2 linked regions of the Neodiprion lecontei genome follow. The protein of the gene in region 2 interacts with the protein of the main gene of each other region in a pairwise test. Links are inferred from orthologs where the notes say so. Each region holds a gene or a part of one and is shown on either strand. Other genes may lie near its edges. The genes, in order: nucleoside diphosphate kinase and ubiquitin-conjugating enzyme E2 variant 2.

What was found.
Region 1: the proteins of ubiquitin-conjugating enzyme E2 variant 2 (region 2) and nucleoside diphosphate kinase interact in a two-hybrid assay, tested with the Caenorhabditis elegans proteins (2 studies listed by BioGRID). The link is inferred for Neodiprion lecontei from reciprocal best matches to the Caenorhabditis elegans genes uev-1 and ndk-1.

What each region holds. Positions count from the first base shown.
Region 1 is NC_060261.1:5,993,613-5,997,710, reverse strand, and holds nucleoside diphosphate kinase, read right to left. Parts: upstream 2,389-4,098; 5' UTR 2,273-2,388; coding exon 2,144-2,272; intron 1,269-2,143; coding exon 1,167-1,268; intron 1,039-1,166; coding exon 799-1,038; 3' UTR 648-798; downstream 1-647.
Region 2 is NC_060261.1:26,288,464-26,293,423, forward strand, and holds the start of ubiquitin-conjugating enzyme E2 variant 2, read right to left. Parts: upstream 3,071-4,960; 5' UTR 2,841-3,070; coding exon 2,816-2,840; intron 48-2,815; coding exon 1-47. UniProt on the Caenorhabditis elegans protein: Involved in protein ubiquitination, but has no ubiquitin ligase activity on its own. The uev-1-ubc-13 heterodimer catalyzes the synthesis of non-canonical poly-ubiquitin chains that are linked through Lys-63.

The sequences.
Region 1 (4,098 bases), about 20 Mb from region 2:
TAATAATGAATTGTCTCGACCGTGAAAAACGTCCTCTCGCGTTCTCCGACGTCTGGTTGATATTGAATGATAATGAAGTAATAGTAAAATATAATCATTCCTCGATGTGATTGTTGTTACATTTATCAAGGCGTGCTTGCATTTTTTTTTTTTTTGTTTTTTTTTTCTTATTACATATATACACACACTTGCTCAGCTCATCGTTTATTAAAGTATGTATGTACTCAGCCGTAGCATAAAAGAAGCCCCAGACAAACACTACATATTATATCTTCGATATAAATTACAATAGGAATACCAGGCTATCAAGTGTTGAAAATATTATGTATAATAAAATAACGACGTTCTAATAAATTTCCAACACATCTTTTTTTTGGTCAAAGTGCCAAATACAAATTAAGAATAGTCGGGTGAACTGGAAACTAGACTTTACACACTTCAACTTTGTCAGAATAATAATGAATTTCAATTAAATCGAATGAAATCTTTCTAATTAAATTATTCCAACTGCAACCAAATCTTCATACCTGTTGACGAAACAAGTGATTCGGCACTGTTTTCATTCTATTGAAAAAGCGGTGAGGAAGAGGAAGCAAATGTAGATTTTCAGTTTGGAAAACTGGTACAGGTGAGGTAGATTCTTCCCCTTTTGTTTAACGTTTTTATTTTTGGACTTTTTGGGTTGTTCTTGTATGTACAGTTATAGTCGCACCCACGTATCTCCAGCAATGGGTATACTGTGAACTGAAGTAGGAAACTGGGAGGTGTGAGAATGTTACTGTTTTATTGGACGGTAATCTATTCGTAGATCCATTTCTCAGCCCAAGAAGACCAGTCGACAACGTCTTTCTTTTCCTTCTCTCCGAACCACAGTTTGATCTCCTTGTTGGCAGATTCAACTGAGTCGGATCCATGGATTATGTTGCGTCCTACCTGGATGCAGAAATCACCACGGATTGTTCCTGGTGCTGAATCCTTTGGGTTAGTTTCACCCAGCATAACGCGACCAGTTTTGACCGCATTCAGACCCTCCCAAACCTAATTGAAAGAAAGATACATGGTCAGGAACTGGCTCAAATTTCAACGCACAGAAAAAATCTTTCTGTTTTTAACGTTTCTAAGTTGAGTAACTGGTGAATGGATTTTACAACTTTTTTTATAATTACCATTGGTACGACTGGACCGGAACTCATGTACTTGACAAGACCTGGGAAGAAGGGTCTTGCAGCCAAGTCAGCGTAGTGCTGCTTGAGAAGGTCCTCCGAAGGCTGGAAAATAAATACAATGATCACGGTTAATAAGAAAATAAATTACGACGATGAGATTGAACAACCCAAGAAGTATCAGGCCTACGAATTAGAAAATCATACAAGAGGCAATAGAATTTCGATCAACTGGCGGTTTCATTGATTCTAGAACGAGATCTTGATAAATAAATTGATTATGCGCTGATCGGTTAACGACGGGTCATTTATTACTGCAAGTTTTTAGATAAAAATTGAGAAACTTTTCGACAAACTGAACAAATGTGAAAGTTTCAGGAATAGATACTGTGACTGAAAGAAGCGTCAGATATCGAGGTGAATTATCTTACTGAAAGTTCTTAAATTTTCTCACAATCCAAAATAATTTCCCCCACTAAATTTTCCTAGGTATTTCATCCTTAATCTGGATTGAAAACACAATAAAATGACTCTACTACTAATTAACCTTGGTTGCGTATCGAAGGTCGAGATTATTCCATCCAGTGTGTATACCTATGTGCAGCTGTATCGATTGCCCTGGATAATCCGATTCCATTTGATTAGATCAGAGGTTTATTGTTAGAACTATGATCTGAACGAACAGCGACAAATTGGACTAGATGGCCACGTAAGTATCGAGATCGAACAAAAATGCTCTACTTGAAAAATGCCCCTTCCGCGTCAGGCGATGCGTTTTTTTCAACCAATTATCGACATAGTCGAAGGGACATTGTCGCCGCATAAAGTTGGCTCATATGCAACACAAATACCGTAATTTGGTTACGAAATAACGAGGCAGTTAAGGGCAAATATCTCCAGTCGATACAGAGACACCTTGACCACGTGTTGCCTGACAATGATGGCCGCGATGCCAGAGATCATACAGTTCCGAGACTTACCCAGACCATCTTGAGGGCGACGAGCTTGAAGCCTTTTTGCTCAAACCGTTGGATTATCTTTCCTACAAGCCCGCGCTGCACGCCGTCGGGCTTGATCATGATGAAGGTTTGCTCTTTGTTATCGCCCATTGTTATTGTCGGTTATTTAGCAGAGGAAATTGGCAAGGCAACGGGCACAAGAGGTGAGACAAAACTTCGCCGGCGAGCCACAGGAGAGTGAGAACGGGATGACTGCTGTTGCCGTCTCGAAGCCGGGAGGATTCGCTGTTTTCAATCAGGGGCGTACAGTCCAAGGCACGTGAATCGTTTTCACCATCAGGATGGTGAAAATGCCCTCAATACGCCTCGAGCGAAATCGCTACGAAATTAAATTTCTATTCGACGTAAATTCTAAAGCAATCTAATCAGTCGTTAGTGTTTTGTTTTCCGAGTCACCAATCGATGTAACAGAATAGAAGTCCAACACCCTGCACGAAGTCTTCTCATATTCTTAAATAATTCACCCGAAACATCGAGCCATCATATCGTTCTTGCATGTCATTGCTAGACCACGCCCACAAACTGGATTTCAAAACATTTTGCAAACCTAATAATTGTCGGAAGATAACTAAGCCACGGGCCCCCGAGCTGTTAGATACGAGCCTTCTATTCACCGCCGGAAGTTGACCTGACTCCATGCTTGTCGATACTGACGTCACGTGTCGTTAGCTCGTCACTAAAGTCTCAAACCCAGGCGTACTGCAGTGCTTATAATCAGGTTTAAAACGATTACAGACTTGCTTCTGTTGACTCTGAGTAGCTTAAAGTGAAAATTAGTAATTAACGAGCTCGGACACGAACGAGAATCCGTGAAAGTGATAGTTTTAAAAAATTTTTAACCCGGTGTCTCGACCGAATTCAAAATGGCCGCCGTACAACGATCGCGTTCTTGTTCTGGCCGATGAAGTCATATATCGCGATAGATATTGTTTTCTTTTATCAATTGGCCTGTTAGCGAAGTTGCTGCGTACGTCGAGTACGTCTGTGGATAAAGTTTAATCGTGACGCGACCTTGCGGACGAAGATTCAGCCCACGAAGTATCAGCATCAAGGCTAAACGACGGACCTGGATTGTATTTTTTCCCGCGATTTACGGGATAGAGGAAATTTTCACCGTCACGAGTTTCGATGCAAGCCCAGCAGCAACAGCAAGGACACCAGCAAATTGCCGGAACAAATGTCATACTTAAAATGAATGAAATTCAGCAGTTGTCAACAGTCGGTGAGTCGAACTACTCTTTTTTTCGATGCAGGTTCCGCTGCCTCGGTGCTCCAAATTCCCTTCGATGTTGGGTCAGAAAACTCAGTGTCTAAATTCCGTACCTAAAACGAAAAACAAATAGGGAAGACATGACAACAAAAGACAATCACGGAAATTTTTTCGGGGCATATTGTTGGGTCAAAATGGCTCCGAGGTGTTCTTTCGATTTACCAATTTACCCGAATGTAGGGATAATTTAAGAATTCCTGTCTATTACTCGAGCCCACGTGACTCTGACGATATAATTCCTCGGCTATTTTGGGATAGGTAAAAGTTTTCCACCAGTTTACTAAATATATATAGATATACAAGTAGACGAGTTATGATTATATCGAATCCAAAATGGCCTCCTCTTACTCCTTGTTATAATTTTGCTGTTACTTCGGTGTGTAATTATTTGCACGAACTAAACCTGCGCAGTTTTATAGATTTCGTATGAGGGAGAAAAGACTCTGCACCTAGCCTTTCATCAATCGTTTTTCCTGTTCTTTATTTTACTCCTTACATTCCCACCACGTGGTTGCCGCAACGCGAGGAGTAATCGACTGGTTCAGTTTTTCGTAAGCCGATCACGCAGTCAGCCGTGAGCTGTACCCGTCCCGTAGAATATCCAACATGTACCCATCTGTCTCGTTTCCATTTGTCATACCATGTT
Region 2 (4,960 bases):
TTGCCCTTGTTCTAGCTCCTCGAGTAAGCGGAAATTTCTAGGGACAACTGAAACATAAGGCGATAGCTCGTTGAGGCTGACAAATTCACATTTACAGTAAATCATTACACAGTAAGATATTTACATCCTCTTATTGGTGTTTATGTAACTGAGGATTAATAAATCTTAGCATCACTACATATTCACAAATCTTCATGGGAATATTTAAGAATTTCCAGTAACACTACGCAAAGTTGTATATCGTTTTATTAGAAAAACAGTTGGAAGCTAAAATTATGAACAACGAGATCGGGTTGAAATTGGTGTTAAGTCAACATAACAAGACTAGGGTCAAATGTGAATCATTAACTTTCAGTTATAGAAAAATGTAGTCACTGCAGTTGTGAAACAAGTACAGCTTGCTGTTTCAATAATACCGGTGATAGGGAATAAATTTGCGAAAAAAAGCAGTACCCTCACTCTCGATGTGAAGCAGTGACAAAAACATTTCAATCACTCTCTTTCAATACTGTCACAAAGCACTTAGCATAGGGTACTTTTGTAAAAGTCGAAGAGCTTGGCCATGAGTGAGGGAAGCACTCGAGCTCAAAATAGGGGAAGCGGCACTATTGTCAGAGCACATTGTACATCGTATTTTTGAAATTCTCAAGTTACAATATAGCTATTTTTTTAACATGTAAAAAACATGCAAGTAAAGTTAATCGAGGTGAATTTCAGTGAAATCGTATTTTTCACATAGAAATATGTAGCAAATGTCAGTTAGAATAACCTAATTGCTAACTCCATAGTTTTTTCACCACCAAAAGCGTACTCAGCATTGTGTTGCTTACGTTGCAGAGTAACGAGATACCTATTGTTTACCTTATTAACCAACGCTGTCGGATGTTTTAGTTACTTAATAATCCGGCAAGACATGTTACAAGGTTAACTATAGATAACTCGCTGTGCTGCAACATAAGGGAGAAAACATATGGTAAAATTTATTTATCTCAAATGATACATACATAGTTCATTTTGTTCATGAAAAAATGAATTCTCTATGGTTCATTAAAGATAAATTACTGGCTCTAGTTACCGAGCAACTCTAAAGTTGTCTTACAAAATTCTAAGCTTCTGACTTTAAACTTCAAACTTTATCTTTCTGAAACTGTTGATGATCGTGATTGATCGATTTTTTCGGTGTAATTTAAATTTCCAGTTTTCAAACTCTTTTGTGTCGAAATGAAATTTTCTCAATTTCTGACCATTTTCATAACGTATATAATACTGGGCTTATACAAGGGTAATTGTTTTACAAAACTTCTTCAGTTAGTAAGACAATTTTTTCCAAAATTAGTACACATAGAAAAATATGTGATATAATTTTTCTAAAAGTTGGTCAAGCAAGTTGGTGTCGAAAAGTTGGTTGTATATTTGTTTTAATAAATCCTCGAAACTTCAGGCCCCTTAGGGGCGATTGTGTTTATTACACTCACATTGATTAACTTCAATTGCACCATTTAAAACATTTGAGATTTTTATTTGTATTGATTTTTAAGTAGATGATACAAGAAATGCGTCTGCAAGATCATTGGATGTTTAGTCGTTTATAAGACAATGACTTAAAAATTTTGGAAGAAGTTTAAGTAAGATACATTTAGTTCTATATATAAATTTTACTGAATTTGATAGCGTCATTTGCAAGTAATTAATCCTGAAAGATAATCAGTTATATACAGGCTCTAATGGTTTGTACTATTTTAGTTTCTACATGATCAATTGAGCTTTTCATTTACAACTCTGTACAAATTACCGCCTTATATTACAATTAAAACAAACGAAACTTAGAATAATTTAAAAGTTAGACAACTTTTATTATATAGAAATTTTTATACATTATTCTCCACCAGTTGAATTGACAATGTTGTATAAATGAAAACGATATCGTCGATGGTAAATGACGTGGGTACAGATTGTAGCATTTGTAGCTTAGTTGCTAGATAAATAATTGTGCAAAATTGTAATGCAATTAAAATTTAATTAGTCAAGCATACTGGGAACTAGGTCATGCCATTTCCTATACTCTGATCTAGTTTCATACAAAAACAAACATATCCATAAAAAATAAAACTGGACGGAAGGCCACTGTGTGCCACTACGTTTTCTATAGCTCAAAAATACATGAAAATGTTAGGCACGTCGTTAATAACATATTTTAAATATCAGATAATACCTAACATTTGTCTGAAATTAAAAAGCATATCAGAAAAGTATAAGGAGAATCGGTGATTAAGATCAAGGAAATAAGACATTTGGTTATTTCCAAATATGGAACAACTAAAAGGTAACGTTACAACACTAATGCTTGCAGTTTACGATACAAGACCACAAAATAATGAAAACATGTGTAATGGAGCGGAAGATGTTTGATGCATTTTGGTGGATACCAACGATGTGGATTCTTGACATCGGAGATATACGTCAACTACGACGACACATAGAGAAGACAGATCTAAACAATTTGACGGGTTGAACTGGTAAAGTATGAGAAAGGGGGTCGTCAAATAGACGCAAATGCAAAATTATGTATATTCTTCATTCGACTATGGTTACTTACGAACTAAGGAACGATATGCAATTAGGGGACAGGGAAAAAACGTGATCTGTCAGGTGACTAGTACTCATTATTGTGGAATTAGTAATTGGTTTCAGGTGGGAATATGATTATTGGATAGTTCGTGAGACTCTAGAATGGTCAGGGAGATCATTGAAAATGTACAAGTATGAATAATGAATCACGAAAATACGTGTGGTTAATACCACGATTAATACTGACCAACACCGGCCGTGGGTACCGCCATGATCTCAAAATTTGTGCGGCTTGATAAATGTTGGTTTTACTACGGTGTACAGCAATATTTTAGCGATATAACCACGTAATATTGAGTATTGCTTTTCTTACGATAATCTCACGACAAAACCTTCCATTACCTATACCGGAGGCTGACAAAAATCAAGCTCTCAATTTCAAAGTAAACTCACGTCGCAAAACTTCGGGCAACCTCCGGGAGGTTGTCTAATTACGTTGGTTATGTGGCAAGTGGAGATAGGCGAGCTTACAATCATTATCTGGGCCGACATTTTGTCCATATGTATTGGTGATGCTACAGAACTGTAGATGGCATTACTTCACTCACCTGTGACGTTGACAGCATTCCACGATGATTTCCAGATACTAGATACTAGGTTTGTTCGTGCTAGCTACACTTTCTACACTTTCGTGGGGAGTGTACACTTGCGCGTTTGTTTTAGCGGACGTGACGTCGGATGGCGCTGTTTGTTTTACAAATGTCACTAGACTTTTGTTACACTTTGGTCGTGTTCGAAAATTGACTGACATTGCTGTCAGCAATCTTTCATCTCTCTCGCGCTTCCAAGTTCGTGGATAGCTCTGACTCTGTCCTAGGGAATTTTCAGTACTGTCAGTCAATTTACGAACACGGCCTTTGTGTACACTTTTTACACTCGGTCGAGACTAAAGCACACGAAAATAAAATAATCTCGAATATAGGTGATGAGAGAAATTAATGACATTGTAGTCAGGGCAGCTAGGTGGTCTAATGGAGTAAGTCTCCGGTAAAGCATCTCTAGATACCAAGTTCGATTCCTGACTCCGTCGTTAATTTTTCAACTCACCTGAAAATTTTCGAAATTGTACTCTTTTTAGTATAAATATTACTGTTCCAGGTTACCGCCATTGCGAGAATCTTCGGAACCGATGCTACAAACCTATATGTAGGAACCATAATCCTTGTGAGTCATAATGCACCACTCCTAAGTGCATTCAGACATCGTGTGACGACGCATGGTCTGCCCGATATATCGTGGACAGAACGCCACTGCCTATACGACGAATCCGGTCGAAGCGAATACCTAAAGAGTATAGAATAGCGTAAAGGGCAGATCGCAGCCTGCCATTCCCGGACTTCCCGGCCAGGCGCCGGACCGACATATAAGATCGCTGCTCCAGCGTTGAGCCATCGCTCCGAGGACCGATTCCGCGTACCTGTCGATAGTGACTGTATCACGGAGTATGGAGCCATAATCCACCACTCCAAGTTGAGAGTTACTGCAAGTTGTTGCTCCCCATTCGGCAACTTTGACCGGGAGGTATCCTCCTTGCTCCACACATGCTTTTGCCATAGGGTCCCCAACGATAGGCAACTAGGAAGGTAAGGTGCCGGCAACTGAAAATTTTGTGAGAGCTGGTATCAACGACGAAATCATGAGCGGAACATTACGTGTCATCTATCGGTAATTTTTGAAGATGCGTAACACAATTACAACTGATATTCGCCACAGGAGGAATGACCCAATTATAGTGGGGAATAAACGACCAATTACAGGAAGCAGGATTACCTGACGACATCAGCGAGAACGGCGAGCCAAACCCCGACCTCCATCTATTCTACGCTCATGAGATTGAGATAACTCTTTCTATCTCGCTCGTTACGTGTAGAAATTGCCTTCACTTCATTTTCCTTTCCTTCTTCTTTACTGCTATCGCTACCGTTTCTCTATCGTTTTATATGACCGTTTAGCTCCTTTCCTTTTCTATTACCTTTTTTTTCTTACTATCGATAAATTTTATTTAAATTTAAATCAGTGCATGCGTGCCCGAGTCACCGGCTAAGGTAAGGGTTCTCCCGTTGTATTGTTTCGTTACGAAGTTGCTCGTATCTTGTTTTCTTATATCTTAATTCTCTATTTTGGTTGCATCGTGTTTTGCCAGTTTCTCTGTGAATCATGGTCCGCGTCTCTGAGTTGCTGTAGACCGTCGCGTGACTGCGTGATTTCTTTGATTAATTAATTCCGTTAAATATTATTGTTGAGCGACCTCGTAGCTACCGAATAAATATCTCTATCATCTGAATTTCTTATAATTTCATGCTGGAATCGCTTCCGTAATTTCTACCATCTT